Saccharomyces cerevisiae S288C: one gene and its partners. Each later gene encodes a partner of the first gene's protein in a complex. Each region holds a gene or a part of one and is shown in the gene's direction. Other genes may lie near its edges. The genes, in order: MRPL10, MRPL6, MRP35 and MRPL32.

Evidence for each region.
Region 2: MRPL10 (region 1) and MRPL6 share a complex: the UniProt entries of both Saccharomyces cerevisiae proteins name them as parts of the mitochondrial large ribosomal subunit.
Region 3: MRPL10 (region 1) and MRP35 share a complex: the UniProt entries of both Saccharomyces cerevisiae proteins name them as parts of the mitochondrial large ribosomal subunit.
Region 4: MRPL10 (region 1) and MRPL32 share a complex: the UniProt entries of both Saccharomyces cerevisiae proteins name them as parts of the mitochondrial large ribosomal subunit.

What each region holds. Positions count from the first base shown.
Region 1 is NC_001146.8:101,568-106,609, reverse strand, and holds MRPL10 (mitochondrial 54S ribosomal protein uL15m MRPL10), read left to right. Parts: upstream 1-2,507; coding exon 2,508-3,476; downstream 3,477-5,042. Other genes in the region: WSC2 (Wsc2p), read left to right, coding at 1-1,426; YNL284C-A (gag protein), read left to right, coding at 4,378-5,042. UniProt on the Saccharomyces cerevisiae protein: Component of the mitochondrial ribosome (mitoribosome), a dedicated translation machinery responsible for the synthesis of mitochondrial genome-encoded proteins, including at least some of the essential transmembrane subunits of the mitochondrial respiratory chain.
Region 2 is NC_001140.6:392,139-396,978, reverse strand, and holds MRPL6 (mitochondrial 54S ribosomal protein uL6m MRPL6), read left to right. Parts: upstream 1-3,695; coding exon 3,696-4,340; downstream 4,341-4,840. Other genes in the region: SKG6 (Skg6p), read left to right, coding at 320-2,524; snoRNA-binding rRNA-processing protein IMP3, read right to left, coding at 2,894-3,445. UniProt on the Saccharomyces cerevisiae protein: Component of the mitochondrial ribosome (mitoribosome), a dedicated translation machinery responsible for the synthesis of mitochondrial genome-encoded proteins, including at least some of the essential transmembrane subunits of the mitochondrial respiratory chain.
Region 3 is NC_001146.8:396,529-401,222, reverse strand, and holds MRP35 (mitochondrial 54S ribosomal protein bL35m MRP35), read left to right. Parts: upstream 1-2,852; coding exon 2,853-3,200; downstream 3,201-4,694. Other genes in the region: NCS2 (Ncs2p), read right to left, coding at 1-183; protein channel TOM70, read left to right, coding at 686-2,539; NMA111 (Nma111p), read right to left, coding at 3,545-4,694. UniProt on the Saccharomyces cerevisiae protein: Component of the mitochondrial ribosome (mitoribosome), a dedicated translation machinery responsible for the synthesis of mitochondrial genome-encoded proteins, including at least some of the essential transmembrane subunits of the mitochondrial respiratory chain.
Region 4 is NC_001135.5:116,088-120,626, forward strand, and holds MRPL32 (mitochondrial 54S ribosomal protein bL32m MRPL32), read left to right. Parts: upstream 1-2,532; coding exon 2,533-3,084; downstream 3,085-4,539. Other genes in the region: septin CDC10, read right to left, coding at 1,293-2,261; YCP4 (flavodoxin-like fold family protein), read right to left, coding at 3,488-4,231. UniProt on the Saccharomyces cerevisiae protein: Component of the mitochondrial ribosome (mitoribosome), a dedicated translation machinery responsible for the synthesis of mitochondrial genome-encoded proteins, including at least some of the essential transmembrane subunits of the mitochondrial respiratory chain.

The sequences.
Region 1 (5,042 bases):
AGCTTGCTATTCAGCTAGTGATATACGAAAATTGGGGTTGACTTACAAGGGTGTTTACGAGTATCAATCAGTTTCCTACTGTCAAAATGAATGCCCTGGTCAGGCTGTCGTTGCTCTTTTCAACGGTACAGGTTGCTACTGTGGTGGTTCCGTAGCTCAGTTACAGTCTTTGACGCAGGTAGATTCGAGCAAATGTGATGTTTCGTGTGCTGGCTGGCCCTACCAAAATTGTGGTGGTTCTTCTGCCATGAACGTTTATATCAATAACGCTGCTTCTACCGCGGACTCAACTTCATCTACTGCTACCTCAACATCGACAACATCTTCATCAAGCACAAGTGTTAGTTCAAAAACGTCCACGAAATTGGACACGAAAACTTCAACTAGTTCTTCTGCTACGCACTCATCCTCTTCCTCGTCTACAACCTCCACTACCACTTCCTCTTCAGAGACAACTACTTCCTCCTCTTCTTCATCCTCTTCCTCTTCTACGTCTACTACTTCTACTACTTCTACTACCTCTAGTACTACTTCTACTTCTTCTTCTCCTTCCACCACTTCCTCTAGCACTTCTGCCTCTTCCAGTTCAGAAACGTCCTCTACGCAGGCAACTTCTTCATCCACCACATCGACCTCATCCTCAACTTCGACAGCAACGGTCACTTCTACCCCCTCATCGACTTCAATAGGTACTTCCACGCATTACACTACCCGTGTGGTGACGCAGTCCGTGGTTTCTCAAGCTAACCAACAAGCAAGCACGATCTTTACCACCAGGACCTCTGTTTATGCAACAGTATCGTCTACGTCCTCCTCTACTAGTTCTCTCTTAAACGGGAAATCGAGCTCGTCCAAGAGCAAAGGCTTGAGTGGTGGCGCCATCGCAGGTGTCGTAGTAGGTGTGGTTTGTGGTACAGTTGCCTTGTTGGCTCTGGCGTTATTCTTTTTCGTATGGAAAAAACGTCGCCAATCTTCTCAGCATGTGGACTTGGAAGAGACAAAGCAGTACCAGCCGTACTCACTGGGTGATGCTGACGCTAACCCTGTTATTCCACCGTCTGCTTCGAGCACTAACTGGCACATACCCTCTAGGAATAATACAGCATTGTCCAAGAATACAGCGTCTACTTTTGCCACTTATGATCTGCCGACAAGGGCGCCGGGCGGCAGAGATTCTATTATTACTGGTGATGCACATAATATCAGCAAAAGAAGTCACTTTCCCTCGGTAGTGTACGAGGAGCCTCCTTCGATCTATAACGGGAACCAAAGGTTCAGTGCTACTTCGCTGCCCGATATGATGGAAGAAAGACAACTACACATTGTCAACCCCGATAATGTGAGTTCAAATATTGGGAGTAATGTCTCAGATGGTGATGATGATTACGATGATGCAAAGGATTCCAATAATAGTTCTTTGCGCTGACTAGGTTTAGATACCAACACTACATATTCATATCAAAGACTTATTCATCCTTTCATATTTCTTTCCTTCATTTTCCCTTTGTATGTATAATATTATTAAAGCCGACGATTATTGCACGAAAGAAAAAAAATATAGATAAAGTGAACAGTACCGACCATATCAATATTGATTTATCATGTTAAAAAGTTAAGTATATGTATAGTTTATCAAAATGAATGTACACATTTTCTATTCTTCACAAATCTGAGGCAATGGGGTCTGTCTCAAATCACCATCAGGCATGTTTACCGTAGAATAAAAATAATATGCTTCCAATCGGATTTGAACCGATGATCTCCACATTACTAGTGTGGCGCCTTACCAACTTGGCCATAGAAGCTCAGAACTTGAGAAAACCGGATATACAAGTGCTACTTAACAAAATGAGTATGGAAATCCTAATCTTCTTACTTTAGTTAGTATAAGAATCTGTGTATATTTGGTGAATAATTTGATGATTGTTGGGATTCCATTGTTAATAAATACTATACTAGAAGTTCTCCTCGAGGACATATGATGTCGTTAGGACGTGATAAAAACCATTTCGTCCTTGGGAGATCACGGATGCATCGAGAAGTTTCCTAGCCAGTCATTGGGTTATTGTGCCGAAATTAACTTTAATCAATCAGAAGAGAGAAACCAAATGGCGTCCCCCAATTATTCACACTTCTGCAAAACAACTTAATTACTTTTCGTTTTTCACAAAACAAACGCAGCTCATATTTTGGGTAGGGCATTCCAAGTATCCATTTTATTGTGCGTTCATTGGTCTCGGTGAACGTAGGACAATATGAGTTCCGATTATACCAAATACCGTAGCAAACTCCTGATTGCAATTAAACAGTATATTTTGCGTATTCTGCGTCGCAAGCAATGTTAGATAAGGTACCTTTATGTACTATACAAAGCTACTATTCACAGCTACTATCTTTATATCCGTTTTTCTATTTGGCAATCGTATAGTTTTCTTACCCGGCTGAAACTCCAGGTAACTGCACTAAACGCAGTGCGTAAAATTAAAGCTCATGACCTTTAGAAGTTGATGAAAGCGGAAAGGCAAACAGGATTAAGAAATAGTTTTACAACCGTAATCGGTCGCAAACTAATAAACACTTTTGTTCCGTCCATGATGTTAACTAGCGTAGCTGGTAACGATATTTTTTTCCGAGGTTTATTCAAATCGCCGGTATTAGCATTTCAAAGTTATCGTTATGTTTCGATTTTGGGACAATTGAAACCGTCAGATGGTTCTACAAAGTCTTTCAAAAGACTTGGGCGTGGTCCTTCCAGCGGTTTAGGTAAGACATCAGGGCGTGGTCAAAAGGGTCAAAAGGCGCGTGGTAAAGTAAAATCGTGGTTTGAAGGTGGTCAAACTCCAATTTACAAGCTATTTCCTAAAATTGGATTTACCAACGTTGGCGCCAAACCATTAAAGGAATTAAACTTGAAACGCATTCAATGGTTTCATGATAAAAATAGGCTTCATTTGCAACCAGGCGAGGTTTTAGACATGAATAAGATGAGAAAGCTTGGTCTGGTAACTGGTCCCATAAAGTACGGAGTTAAAATTCTAGCCAGCGGAAAGTTCCACTACAATCTACCGATTGCTTTGGAGGCTTCTAGAGCATCCGCTAAGGCTATTGCGGCTATTGAAAAAGCAGGAGGTAAGTTTACAGCTCGTTACTACACACCGTTGGGTCTAAGGGCACATCTCAACCCCCAGTGGTTTCTTGAGAAGAGGGGAAGAGTACCACTACAGGCTAGACCCACGAAAAGAAGGGATATTGATTTCTATAGTAAAGAAGAGAAAAGAGGTTACCTAGTAATGGAAAAAGATAAACTCTTACAAGATATCAAAGAAGCTCAAAATAAGGGTTCTAGACACTTTTTAAAACAGAATGTAAAAAAGAGCTCATTAGAAATAGAGCTAGAAGAACTGTCTCCAGAGAAGGATTGGGTGCCAGTTGTGTCTAATTCTAAAGTCATGAACATCAAGGCTTTGGACCACTAAAAAATTGTTAACCGTTTTATATATAAGTAATATTCTCACTTGTACATACCTTAAGATATTGTCTTGTTAATGATTCATTTGGTGTCCGAAATTATTCTATTTTTCAGTCAATTTATGACCAACTATCGAATAAGGTCCTGATTTTCAGAAATTTTTAACTTTTATTTTCTTTTTTGTGAATATACTTTAAGCAAACTCAAACATATTAAAAGATTGCATCTTGCTTTTTCGGGAGAAGTAAAGCAGTTAAAGGAAAAGAGAAAAACTACATTCTTCTTTTAAGCATTATTATAACAGGGTGAAATGGTTATTTAGTAAATAAGCACAAATACAAAAAAAATAAACGACCCCAGTGAGGGTTGAACTCACGATCTTGCGATTAACAGTCGCACGCCTTAACCAACTTGGCCATGGAGTCTTATAATATATGATTTGTTGTATCTCAAAATGAGGTACGTCAGTATGACGATTCCTTATCCTAAACGTTCCTAAAACACATATGTGTGGGAAATGGGTGAATTTTGAGAATTGGGCGAATTTTGAGAGAATTGTTTGGATAGACGATAGTGGATTTTTATTCCAACATGATCAACTAATAGATCTTTAACACTGTTGGAATAAAAATCCACTATCGTCTATCAACTAATAGTTATATTATCAATATATTATCATATACGGTGTTAAGATGATGACATAAGTTATGAGAAGCTGTCATCGAGGTTAGAGGAAGCTGAAGTGCAAGGATTGATAATGTAATAGGATAATGAAACATATAAAACGGAATGAGGAATAATCGTAATATTAGTATGTAGAAATATAGATTCCATTTTGAGGATTCCTATATCCTCGAGGAGAACTTCTAGTATATTCTGTATACCTAATATTATAGCCTTTATCAACAATGGAATCCCAACAATTATCTCAACATTCACCCATTTCTCATGGTAGCGCCTGTGCTTCGGTTACTTCTAAGGAAGTCCACACAAATCAAGATCCGTTAGACGTTTCAGCTTCCAAAATTCAAGAATATGATAAGGCTTCCACTAAGGCTAACTCTCAACAGACAACAACACCTGCTTCATCAGCTGTTCCAGAGAACCCCCATCATGCCTCTCCTCAAACTGCTCAGTCACATTCACCACAGAATGGGCCGTACCAACAGCAGTGCATGATGACCCAAAACCAAGCCAATCCATCTGGTTGGTCATTTTACGGACGCCCATCTATGATTCCGTATACACCTTATCAAATGTCGCCTATGTACTTTCCACCTGGGCCACATTCACAGTTTCCGCAGTATCCATCATCAGTTGGAACGCCTCTGAGCACTCCATCACCTGAGTCAGGTAATACATTTACTGATTCATCCTCAGCGGACTCTGATATGACATCCACTAAAAAATATGTCAGACCACCACCAATGTTAACCTCACCTAATGACTTTCTAAATTGGGTTAAAACATACATCAAATTTTTACAAAATTCGAATCTCGGTGATATTATTCCGACAGCAACAAGAAAAGCCGTACGTCAGATGACTGATGACGAACTCACCTTCTTATGTCA
Region 2 (4,840 bases), on another chromosome or scaffold:
TGAAATTCTTTAAATTTTTTTTTTTTTTTTTTTCGCGAAGCGATAAACTTTTTTGCAGCTCGAAGAGGAAAACTGCTCACCCAAATAGGAAAGTTCATCGAAAAGACAAGGTTTCTTCCGTATTTTTTCTCTTTTTATCTCAATAAGAACTTTTAATAATCAATAACAAACTCATGGTGAAGCTTTTGTGGGGAGCAGGCCTTGTCTTTATCCATATCGAATTTTTCACTGGTTCTTCTTTTCATTCTTTCATTACCTTTCATAGTTTTTCGTTGAACTCATATAGCGTCACATAGTTCTAACAAAGATATAGTTCGCGATGTACCACACCCATATGCATGAAAGTTTAATATCTGTGACTTCAACGGTAAGTGTTTCTGATGCGTCTTATGCTTATGCAAGGCTCACTAGAAGAGACGATAGCGATTCATCTTCTTCCTCAGCATCCAGCACGAAAAATAGCAAATCTGCTGAATGTACAGGCTCTAAACAGCAATGTCAATTACCCACAGATTCGAGTCACAGCACCAGTGTAACTGTTGGTGTGGCTGTTGCGGTACCAGTAGGTGTCATTATCATTGTTCTGGCTGTGATACTTTGCATTGTGTATAGGAGAAGCAAAAAGGAAGCTGAGGAAGATAATGATCCAGATTTCGAAGGAGATTCTGAATTTTTACCGACAATGAAGGATTATTCACCTGGAATAAATCATTTGTACTCTAGCGACTCGCAGCAAGACTTCATGGAAAAGACCTTGCAACAGCCGCCTTCAGATCCCTTTGTTGGTAGCATGCATAGTAGTAAATATAATGTGAGAAGCGCTACCCCACCTGCAATTGGTCGGTCATGGTACGTAGACCCGTTTCAGCTTCCACAGGAATCGAACGACTCTAACAGTTTGAGAGATTTTGCCATGAGAGTACAAGAAGATGGACTAGGTGGCTATAAAGTTGCGGCCGAGTCTAGAAATGCCAGTCAAACGTCCTTGCATCCTGATAACTTTTCGAATTGTACACCAATAAGAGCGTCTTCAAGATTTCAAGAGAGTGAAAGCTTTCGATCTCACGGTAGCCCAATCCATAATAACCAGCTTTCCCGTGGTTCTGCCACAGAAGGTGCCAACAAGCAGTTTACATTTCCTAATGAAGACAATGATTCGTCCTCAGTTAGTGAAGAGGCTGAGGTTTTGAATGAGTCAAATGAGTCTGCAAGCAATGACGCGTTCGAATTCGAACTTGATAATAGTTCAGAAAAGACACATGAAAGGAATCTGCGTTTTGGTAAGGATGATGATAATTATGAACTTCAAGATATCAGAGAAGCTGAACATATGAATGATCGTAGTAGCAGTAAAAGTCAAGATGATGATTACTATGTATCACTCTTATCCCCTAATGAAGAAGAAGATATTAAGAGAATGAAAAGTATTTATCAAGTTTATTTGGATAGAGCTAAAACAATGAAAAAGGAAGAGGATAAAGCAGATAATGCAAATGATATATCGCAGGAGGAGAATAGAGTGGATAATATAGTCCAGAATCCACTGCCTTCTATCAAAATTAATAATAACGACAATATCGACAATAATGAGGTACCGGAAGCAAAACACCTGGTGAAAGAAGCACTTCCTCTAAACAATACTAACTTGGCAGAATATGGTCCAGAAATGGCCCAAAGCCAGAAACAATATCCAGTGCAGGATACACTCACCGTGAACGATACGGAAGCAGCGCCTTCCAATAGAATTGCTTCCTCAATTTATTCCGAAGCAATTCAGCCGTTGAATTATCAGGATCAATATCAACAACAGGAACAATCACCAGTATATAATGGCCACACACAGTATCCTGGCAATGGATATAGCGGAAATCCTCAGCAACAGGGGTATACTGCGCAATTCGTGCAAAATCCACAATGGTACGGTGTACCAACTCCTCAACAACAGCAACATAATCATCCTCAGACCCTGGAAACTATTGGAGAATTACCAACTCCCGCATATTTAGCTCAATCAGCTTCCTCGCATTCATTGACCTCTTTTAAAAGACCAAACAAGCAACAACTTCTTCAATTACAGACTGCCAGACTAAACGGAACTGCGTTAAATCCGGTCGATCATCCGGAAATGTTTTATTCACCGACAAACGATGCCTATTATGCTCCACAGCAGCAAGGCCAATATATGAAGTTTAACGAAAATGGGGCGGTTCCTTCACCTTATCAACTTAGACAAAGTGTGGTAATGACCAATCCTTCGGATTTGACGGCAAAACCATCTTATAAGCCAGCAGGTTCTTTCAGAAGTGTAAGCGCAACCAATTCAAGAAATAACAGTCTGACCACACAAAATAATATCTATCTGCAACAGCAGCAGCAGCAACTGTATAATTCTCGTGTTAGTGGGATATTAGAAGAGACAGATGTTGTACAGCCACCAAGTGTTGGTGGAATTTTGCCACATAGTGGTTCACAGGACGATTTAAGAAAACAATTAGGCTCTTCACATAATTATACCGTCAACTGAAGTGTAGATAATGAACGGACAATTATCGGATATATAAATTGATGTTTTATTGGAGAAATTTTACAAATTGCGTATTTATACAAATTAATTTATGTTAAATAGGATTTTTTCGAAGTGTATTTTTAAGTTTTAAGGCATATTTAACAAATGACGCCGATGAGAAATTGTTTTGCGGTTTTTCTTATTTTTGCATACGACGAAGAAGTTCCTTTGTGTATATAACAATTTTTCATGCTTCCAGCTTTTAAGAAAGCTCAGGCGCCTCACATCATTTGTATTTGCTGCCTCGTTGCCTATTCGTAATAATTTCACAATGTAGGAAGATGATAAATCGAGTATTGATACAGAAAACGTAAGTTTGTAGTCAATTTATGAAAAATCAAAATCGTCGATTTGGTTTCTGTATCTCAACAAGGTTTTCTTGATCTTAGAGTTGTCCACCCAAGTAACGTAGTCCTCCATATTTCTCGTTACGAGGTAGGCTGGATCGTTGATCAAATTTGGACCCACGCGAACATGCCCTTGTTCAATGAACTTGACTGCATCTTGTATAGTTTCCGCCATTTTTAATCTATGCATTATTACAGGTAATCGCCTCCTACAGATGGCACTAACAGTAACTTTATTTTCCAGATCAGAAATCTTTGATTTAGTTGTCAGGACACCCATAGCGTATAGCTTGTCCAGTAATAATTGCTCATGTTTGCGACGAAATGGATCAGTGGGAGGTAATAATGATAATTTATTGGCAAGACGACGAATATCACCGCATATCCTATTGTATTTATGATAATCTTCACGATTCTGAATATGATATGTTCTCATGACCTGAGTGTCCCGGTGGCCTTGGTCCTGCTTCCATTCAAGGAAGTCTACTTTTTTCAATAACTTTTGCTCATGATGCTTTAGTTTTCTAACCATTATTGGTTGTGATTATGCCTGGTGGTTTATCTATTTAGAACGTTCTATATTACTTATCCCATTGAATTTTTGTTGCGATGAGCTTATATCAGTGAAATTTTTTTCACTGGAAGTAGAGGGTAATGAAAGGCGAGCGGAAATAGCGAGGAGACGCTACGGTTATAGAGGAAGAATATCAAATACTAGTAAGTAAGGGAAGATCACGCAATAAAGCTATCGCAAATCTTACTATAGGAATTGAGGCCAACCTATGTCATTTATTCAGAGGAGGTTATTGTCGCAAACACTTTTTCTGCGCTCTCAAGTGGGGTCTTTACCACTTTATATATCTCCTGAAGTTCAGGTTTCCATAAATGCATTATCCATGCCCAGGATTATCAGAAAAGGTAGAACTTCAATGAATATATCACAGAATATCACAGTAAAGGGACCCAAGGGTGAATTGTCCGTGGAGGTCCCTGATTTTTTGCACTTGGACAAGGATGAAAAGCACGGTAAAATAAATGTTACAGTTCAGAATTCAGAAGATAAACATCAACGTTCGATGTGGGGTACAGTAAGATCACTTATAAATAATCACATTATAGGTGTTACTGAGGGGCATCTTGCTGTCCTTAGATTTGTAGGGACAGGTTATAGAGCTCAATTAGAAAATGATGGTAAATTTGTCAACGTTAAGGTGGGTGCATCTATCAAACAAGGATTGGACGTTCCTGAAGGTATTGTTGTCAAAACACCTGCTCCCACGTCTCTGATTATTGAAGGGTGCAATAAGCAGCAGGTCCTTCTTTTTGCTGCCAAATTGAGAAAATTCCATCCACCAGAGCCGTATAAAGGCAAAGGAATATACGTTAACGATGAAACAATAAAGCTAAAGGACAAGAAAATCAAATAACTTCAGGATTTCAGTTATTTTCGTACTCATTTTCGTAATTTTTTTTATGACATGTATCTTTTCTTATACTTTATAGGGAATACCTTGTAAATATCCTATGAAAATAACTTAAATGAAATTTATATTGGTTATTAATGCGGTGACGTGTTCTTGCTTGGTAAACATTTTGGTGTTCAATGAAACTCTTGGCTTGCAACCTTTAATATATACTAGTTTCACGGAATATGAACGCAATAAGTAAGGCCACAGAAGTTCGAACCTTACCTTTCATTTTATACAGTTTCGAAAAGGGAACACCATTTAGACTAGAAACCAAATATCCTCTTTAACGTTCTGCTAATGCTATATATTTTTTGATTCCAACGCTAATAAAGATTTTTTTTCTTGAGTACTTTTCATGTTTTGTTGTAGAGAGCCCATTTAAAACAAAGATGTTTACCAGAAAACAAAAGAAAAGATCAAATAAGTGAGTAAATGAAATGCTGTACCTTCCAATTTCT
Region 3 (4,694 bases), 290 kb from region 1:
GGATCCTTCTTTTTCAAATGGGTATATAACTTTAAATAGGTTCCTGAAATATTCATCCTTCATCATTTGTTTCCTTTGTTTAGTACTAACAAACTTGATGAAACATTCATCGCAAAACTTTTCCTTTCTAGACTCAACTGTCGCTGGATTTCTGGCAGATGCAGGGCACCTCTGGCACTCCATAACTTGATAGAATTATATTTTTAAAACTAGGATAGGGATGGACAATAGCAAATACAGAAACCGAAGTTAATTTTATGCTCGTCTCACTCATCTCATCGGTACTATAACAGTTTTTCACTGCGTAACTGAAAAAAACTCCATAATACGTAGATAATGATGATGTAATTAAGTCAACTATTCAAAAATAATAAAGATGACTTTATTGAAAGAAACACTGTGCAGGCAACTTCAAATGTTTCCATAAGGTTCAACAGTGTTATATCATTTCAGAAACAAACATTCAAGGATTAAGTGGAAGGAAAGAAAGAGTTTCATTGCCATTAGTTTAAAATATACAATATCACTGTATACGATGAATAAGATGGCGTTAAACCACCTTTTGTGTTTGGACGACCAGTGGAAAAGATCTTAAAGGAATTAAGAGGAACTCCACCACTCACCATAAAAGAGAAGCAAGATTCGGAAGTGAAATTACAGCTCACATCTAGGTTCTCAATTGCCAATGAAGAGCTTCATTACAAGGAACAAGACAGCCATTTTGGCAACCGTTGCTGCTACAGGTACTGCCATCGGTGCCTACTATTATTACAACCAATTGCAACAACAACAACAACGAGGAAAAAAGAACACGATCAACAAAGATGAAAAAAAGGACACAAAGGACTCTCAAAAGGAGACTGAAGGTGCTAAGAAATCTACAGCCCCATCAAATCCTCCTATCTACCCGGTTTCTAGTAATGGCGAACCAGATTTTTCCAATAAGGCAAATTTCACCGCTGAAGAAAAGGATAAATATGCATTAGCGTTAAAGGACAAAGGTAACCAGTTCTTTAGAAATAAAAAATATGACGATGCTATTAAGTACTATAATTGGGCATTAGAATTGAAAGAAGACCCAGTTTTCTACTCGAATTTATCGGCTTGCTATGTTTCTGTGGGTGACTTGAAAAAAGTTGTTGAAATGAGTACTAAGGCTCTTGAATTAAAACCAGACTACTCAAAAGTTTTACTGAGAAGAGCTTCTGCTAACGAAGGGCTAGGAAAATTTGCGGATGCGATGTTCGATTTGTCTGTATTGTCTCTAAATGGTGACTTCAATGACGCCTCTATTGAACCAATGTTGGAGAGGAACTTGAATAAGCAAGCTATGTCTAAATTGAAAGAAAAGTTTGGCGATATTGACACCGCTACTGCTACTCCAACTGAATTATCCACCCAACCAGCTAAAGAACGCAAAGACAAGCAGGAAAACTTGCCTTCAGTTACATCCATGGCCTCTTTCTTTGGTATTTTCAAACCCGAGTTGACTTTTGCCAATTATGATGAATCCAATGAAGCTGATAAAGAGTTAATGAACGGTTTAAGTAATTTGTACAAAAGATCTCCCGAAAGTTACGACAAGGCTGATGAGTCTTTCACGAAAGCTGCAAGGTTATTTGAAGAACAATTGGACAAGAACAATGAGGATGAAAAGTTAAAGGAAAAATTGGCCATCTCATTAGAACACACAGGTATTTTCAAGTTCTTGAAAAACGATCCATTGGGAGCTCACGAAGACATCAAGAAAGCTATTGAATTGTTCCCAAGAGTCAATTCATATATCTACATGGCATTAATCATGGCTGATAGAAATGACTCGACTGAATATTATAACTACTTCGATAAAGCGCTGAAACTGGACTCAAACAATTCTTCTGTTTACTATCACCGCGGCCAAATGAATTTCATTTTACAAAACTATGATCAAGCAGGAAAAGATTTTGATAAAGCTAAGGAATTAGACCCAGAGAATATCTTCCCTTATATTCAATTAGCATGTCTAGCGTACCGTGAAAACAAGTTTGATGACTGTGAAACTTTGTTTAGTGAAGCTAAGAGAAAATTTCCAGAGGCACCAGAAGTTCCAAATTTCTTTGCTGAAATTTTAACAGACAAGAACGATTTTGACAAGGCTTTGAAGCAGTACGATTTGGCTATTGAATTAGAAAACAAGTTGGATGGTATTTATGTTGGAATTGCGCCTTTGGTCGGTAAAGCCACTTTGTTGACAAGAAATCCAACAGTAGAAAATTTTATTGAAGCCACGAATTTATTAGAAAAAGCGTCCAAACTAGACCCAAGAAGTGAGCAAGCTAAAATCGGTTTAGCTCAAATGAAATTGCAGCAGGAAGATATCGATGAAGCTATTACATTATTCGAAGAATCCGCTGATTTGGCTAGAACTATGGAAGAGAAATTACAAGCCATTACTTTTGCTGAAGCCGCTAAAGTTCAACAAAGAATTAGGTCTGATCCAGTATTGGCTAAAAAGATTCAAGAAACTTTAGCTAAATTACGCGAACAGGGTTTAATGTAAACAGTAAACATAAACTTAAAAACTTTTAGGAGAAGACAAAAACTAAGTAACAAAGTAGACTAAATGACAAAGGAAGAGCAGCAATGACATTGACATCTCACTTTGAAAATTTTTGTTTTCATTTTTGTTTCAATATACACGTATGCATGTTCTAATATATATATATATATCTTTTTCTTTTTCTCTTTCATTCTGTAAATAATTAGCAGTGCGTATAAACCACAACCAATTTTTTCAACCTTGAAGCCCTCGCCAATTTGCGGAGCCTAAAAAAATCTGGTCAAATACAAAAAAGATAGTATATATATCTATCATGAAAATTAGCTTGCATAACAAACGGCAACGAGGAGACCAAAACCAAAACATGTCTGTTTTCAATGTACTCAAACCACTACTTAAAGGTTCAAATAGTTTCAAAGTGAAGCTCAACGGCTTTCTATTCAATAACGTTTCTACAATAACAATAAGAACTTTAATGAAAACTCATAAAGGTACAGCAAAGAGGTGGAGGCGTACCGGTAATACTTTTAAAAGAGGCATAGCTGGAAGAAAACATGGCAATATAGGCTGGTCCCATAGATCATTAAAAGCCTTAACCGGAAGGAAAATTGCCCATCCAGCTTATTCAAAGCATCTAAAGCGGTTATTACCCTATCATTGAAGGTGGAATAATTATGTTCTCCTCTAAACCAAACGCACCGTTAACCCCAAATCAATTGTTTGAGTATTTGCTTTCGGTCTTCATGTATATAAATAAGTATGAAACAATAACCATAAATTTATACAATCGATAATACCTTAGAGAATTCAAGCGTTGAAGTAATTAAATACTATTTCGTCAGGCGCTTGCAACCATCTCGACATCATAATCCTAACCCCTCAAAATGATTGAAAAACTTGTAAATCTTAACGCTCCTGTGATAGTCTATAAAAAAACTGTTCTTTATGGAAGACTTTGATGTATACATACATACATACATATATAAATGTTTTATCAAATCTGGCCTATTTTTCACTTTGGCTGTTGCCGGTAAATTCCTTTTCAATCCATTTGTGCGTGATGTTGTCCCTCTTCAATTCTGCAGTAGGGAAGTAATGATAATTCGTTTTCAGTGAAATAGCGAAGGGCACATTGTCGAAAGTCATTAACCTCATTTTACAATAACTATTATCAGGGATTGTTTTGACAACTTTCAAAAATGTATCTAGATCAGGTGTTTCAATTTCATTGACATGAGTTATGAAGTTTGTGGCAGATATACCGTACTGGAGCGCCGGTGACGATTCTCCCCTGAATGTACAGTAGACACCCTTTGGAACATCAACCATAGCTTGCAAAACAGCATGATGCGGCTTTTGTAAGATACTACCTGCAAATATTACAAAACGGTCGGTTTCCTGAACTTCCACGGTTTTAATTTTCAAATCAACAATATTACCATCACGAACAACTTTAAAATCTAACATGGCTGATGGCAAAATACCATCAGCTGAGCTTACAACTCCATTCAAATCATTCATTTCAGTGACTAATTTTCCGTTCACAGATAAAATGACGTCACCGGTCTCTAAATGAATCTTGTCTTCTGTATAAGAAACTCTAGAAACAGTGATAAACTGTAGCCTGTTATTTGATTCATGTTCCATACGCATGATCCATTCTTCGGGCACACCTCTAATTCTGGCTTGCAGAACGGAAATTGAACCGAACCCAGCATCAACTATACTTACTCTTGGTTTACCGCCATTTTTTAAGATATCTATAACTTCCCTACAGTCCATTATATCTAATCCCATCAAATAAACCTTTTCTTTATTTTCTAATCTTTCGCCTAAAAATGGAAGCCATAAACCTCTTACTGTACCATCATTATCTGTCAAAATACCGGAATTACATCTGGTGCTAACGTTGCAGTCGATAGATATAGCTTCTAAATTAGTGGCACGGTACCTCGGAATTAAATTACTTGGAATACTTACAGAGGAAATATCGGTGACAGTGGTCTCTGAAGTAACAATTCTATCATTCTGGGTAAAACCTATAAACTGAAGCTTATCACCACGTTTCATTCTGGTGGTAGATAGCTTGGGAGTGATTAGTGGAGCCTTTACTAACTCTGGATCATATTTAACAATAGCGAAGTTGTGAGTTGGA
Region 4 (4,539 bases), on another chromosome or scaffold:
GAATATTTAGTCGTTCAGTAGGGTTCTTTTGGAAGAAATGCTAGCTTAACATGAGTGTGATCTCTTCTAGAATTAACTCTTTTGTTTATCCATGTAATCTGTTACCAACACATAAAATGCATTGATAGACCAAATATCAAAAGCGTGCAGGCATCTCTTATCTAACAGTAAGCAAAATTTTGCCTGCGCTTTACTTCAATTTTCCATTCTTTTTCTGAGTCTTCGTCAGTGCATATTTTTTTACTGACAGCACCATTAATCAATCAGCTCACCTGCGCATTTCCAATAATCGTGCTCATGAAGATCATAAAGAAACGTCCAAACATGAAAGTGCTCCTTTAGAATTTCTAAATCCAAACGATATATGTACCCCTCGTTGATTTGTCCTAAAATGAGTATAGCTTGATTTTCGTTATATATTTTTTCATAGTATTCAGAAGAGGAGAGAGGATGTGATTTATCAATATCTGCATTAAGTAATGAACTTTGCCCTCTACTGAGGATATTCCCACTAGAAAACTATAAAAAATGGGAGAAAGTCAATCGCTGTTCAGGATTCAACATAGTTGTTGACAACGTATGATAAGAAGGCCAGTCCAGTCCTCCTAAGTTAGGTTAAGGGAGGTAGGGAAAAACTGAAGTGTAATGATAATCGAGGATGAAAGTGTGCGGCCAGAAAAATCTTTTCTTTTTATATTAATCTGTAATAAATACAAGACCTATATATTAAAGTAAAACAACATTGAATCAGATCGCATACTGGTGTAGACGTGAAGTAGACATATGATAATCGAGCAGGGTGCTCAATTTGGTGTGGGACACGTTTGGGAAGGTTAAAAGAAGAGGTATATCCGGATTACATTTATTTTTGGCGTATTTTAATAATTTACTAAAAGCGCGAATAGCTTCCCATTAGCAACGCTCAGGGACTCTTTCTAATGTTTATAGTAATACTTTAATAAGATGAGTACCAATTGCTTCTCTATGAGGCACAATCCCTAACCAAACTTTTATTTAGAATTACCGGTAAACTCCGTTTTCTTCATAGATTAAATATTTGGCTAAGACAACAAAATGTTCTTTCATTTTACCAAACGAGAAGGTGATAGCTGTACGCCAGAAAAGAAGGTAAAAACTCTCGCCAATCCAGCAATACCTGTACCTCTAGTTTTCGATCGCATTATGTCATTATGTAAAACCAAGGAGAGAAGCAAGTTACGGTGTTTTCATATAGAATAATTTGAGAATTCTTAATAACATAAGATATATAATCACCACCATTCTTATGAGATTCAACGTTGAATGGCGTTGCTAGACATATGAGCTGAGGAACGACTATTCGCATTTTCTTTCAAGGCAATTAATTGTCTTGCTCTGAACCCTTCATAATGAATGTAGGAAGTTGTTTCGATTAAGTCTTGGAGATGAGTTCGAATCAAAAATTCCCTTAAATATACAAAATCACACTGGTTGATATCCTCAACATTAATAGCGCTCCAACGAGTTTTTCTTCCCCTGAAGGTTTCACCGTTTATTTCAATCTCATTCTCAGAACCAACCACTGCAAACGGAATGATAGATCTAACACTTCTGTTTAGTTCTAATTCCTCGTCAGTTAGTTCTTCCGAATCATAAGGATAAATCTTGAAATTGTATTTTTCGAATTCATTTTGAATAAGCTCCCTAAACTCCGTTCTTTCATCTAAAGTCAATGTATCCGACTTGCCAATAACTGGTATAACATTTGCTATTTCTGTCAATCTTTTCAAGGCTTCAACGTCAAGGCGGCTCAACTCCTTTCCATTTGGTTGCAGGAAATAAAGAATTGCATGAACTCTTGTATCAGTAATAAACCTTTCACGTTGGGCTGTCAATTCTTTACGTAAGTATTGAGAATGTTGTTCCTTAATGTACTTCACAATAGGCTCCCAAGCTTTAGAATTGTCAATAAAGTCACCAAATCCAGGTGTATCTATAACATTAATATTCAAGCGAACGCGGTCCTCCACAAGAGTATGAGTAGAAATTTTCATTTCAGTTGTTTTTGTAACAGGCAGGGCAGAAATATCATCACCAGTAGCAGAATCAATCAAATGTGAGGCAAATAACGTATTTATTAGAGTACTTTTACCCAATCCGGATTGGCCAACAACCATTATATTAAATTGAAAACCTTTCTTCAACAGACGATGTTCGATCTGATTCGTGATGGTATCAAAACCAACATAAGAAGCAGGCTGTACTGAGCTGAGAGGATCCATTAATATATTTATAGAGTGCTTGTAGTAACCGTGGGGCTTGGCCTTGTATTTTCTTGTCTTTGCCTGAAAAAAGTTAAGTATTACTGATACATGTTTACATATATTCTATTCAGCGATTCTGATCTATTTGTGGTCTCTCGAGGAAATCTCATCGTATCATACGATTATTTCCGCAAGCATTCAGAAAGCAAATCTTAATATAAGGCACAATGTTCCCAAATAATACCTTAACTTGGAGACAAAAACACCAGGGAATATCAGCAAACAAACTATGAATTCTTTGATTTTTGGTAAACAATTAGCATTTCACAAAATTGTGCCTACCACTGCAATTGGGTGGTTGGTACCGCTAGGAAATCCTTCACTGCAGATTCCAGGCCAAAAACAACTGGGATCTATCCACCGTTGGTTGAGAGAAAAGCTACAACAAGATCATAAGGACACTGAAGATAAAGATTTTTTCTCTAATAATGGTATTCTACTAGCAGTTCCTAAAAAAAAAGTATCACACCAAAAAAAAAGGCAAAAACTTTACGGTCCAGGTAAGAAGCAATTGAAGATGATTCACCATTTGAATAAGTGCCCATCATGCGGCCATTATAAGAGAGCCAATACACTGTGTATGTATTGTGTTGGACAAATAAGTCATATATGGAAAACGCATACCGCTAAAGAAGAAATTAAGCCGAGACAAGAGGAGGAACTTTCCGAACTAGACCAAAGAGTCCTATATCCTGGTAGAAGAGATACCAAATATACCAAGGATTTGAAAGATAAAGATAACTATTTGGAACGTCGCGTTCGGACTTTAAAAAAGGACTAGGCTCATCTTTCATCTAGTGGTTTCCTTTTTAAATAAACTTAAGCCTGTATATAGAAACTTAATTTCAAACTGTATATTTATTGTTTAAGACAGCATCAATGGTAGAATACAAGGAGCGGAAACAGAAAGAAAAGTCGAAATAGAATTTTTCGCTTTTGGCTTAACAAAATGAGGTCTTTGAAATCAAGAGTTTTGCTTGACAAAAAACAACTATATTTCAAAATATTAGGAAATGATATTATTAGTACAAGGACTTACAGAAATATACTTTTAATATAAAAAGGAAAAAATAAAATAAAAAGAGTTAATTCTTTATTAATTTTCCAACGTCCTACATTGATATATCTGCTGAGATAGAATTAATGTTAGTAAGAACTAAATATTAGACGCGAACTGTTGTTTCTTACATGACAGTACAGCAGGATAATAATCCTTTGTCCTCCTTCTTTTCTGCAGTTGTAGCTGCTGCAGGTTTAGTTTGTCTCTTAGCCGCATCAGAAGTAGTGGTCTTCTTTTCAGTGGAGGGCTTGGCTTCTTTTGCAGGGAAAAGTTTTTTGGCGGTTTCGTAGAATGTTTTACCTTGAATTTCAGCAATTCTCAATTCAAGTGGAGACGCAGTTCTTGAGCCGTCAGGTCCTGCAAGGGTACCAGCACCCCATGGAGAGCCACCGTGTACCTCTTCTATACTGGCTAACTCAGCAAATGAATTCTTATAACCCAGTGGTAAAAAGATAATTCCGTGATGAGCTAAATAAGACAAACAGGCTTTAACGGTACTTTCTTGACCACCTCCGTAACTGGAAGTACTAACGAATATCCCCGCAGCTTTGCCGTTCAAAGAGCCCTTGGCCCATAATCCACCGGTTTTATCCCAAAAGGCGGACCATTGAGCCGGCAAATTACCAAACCTAGTTGGAACACCGAACAAAAAGGCGTCATATTCGAGCAACGTTTTCTCAGTGGCAACAGGAATATCTTCAGGTTTCTGAGGAGCGTTCATCTTGGTGAGGACTTCATCAGGTAAAGTTTCCTCGACCCTGTATATATCAGCTTTACCACCAGCTGCCTCCACACCTTTCTTAACAGCTTGGGCTAAAACGTCTATGTGCCCGTAGGTAGAGTAAGTAATTATCGCAATCTTTACCATTCTTATAGTGCTTCAATTGAGTCTGTATTGTTTTGTTTACTCTCTTTTTTTTTATTGATACTAACCTGACCCCTCTTTTCCTTTTTCCTCTTCTTGTTTTCTTTCTGATAAAGTTTACAAACTTCAAATAAAAATGAACGTAAAACAAGTAAAAATGTAGGATGTTATAGTATCAACTAGCTGCCGGAATAGTGCAAATTGTATGAATCGAAATAAGTACGCTAGCCAAGGCAGTAAGGCCTAATGCCCTTAGGCAAATTTATTATTTATATTAAGTTCCAAGAAGGGGAAGCGCCTTCTTTCCCCGC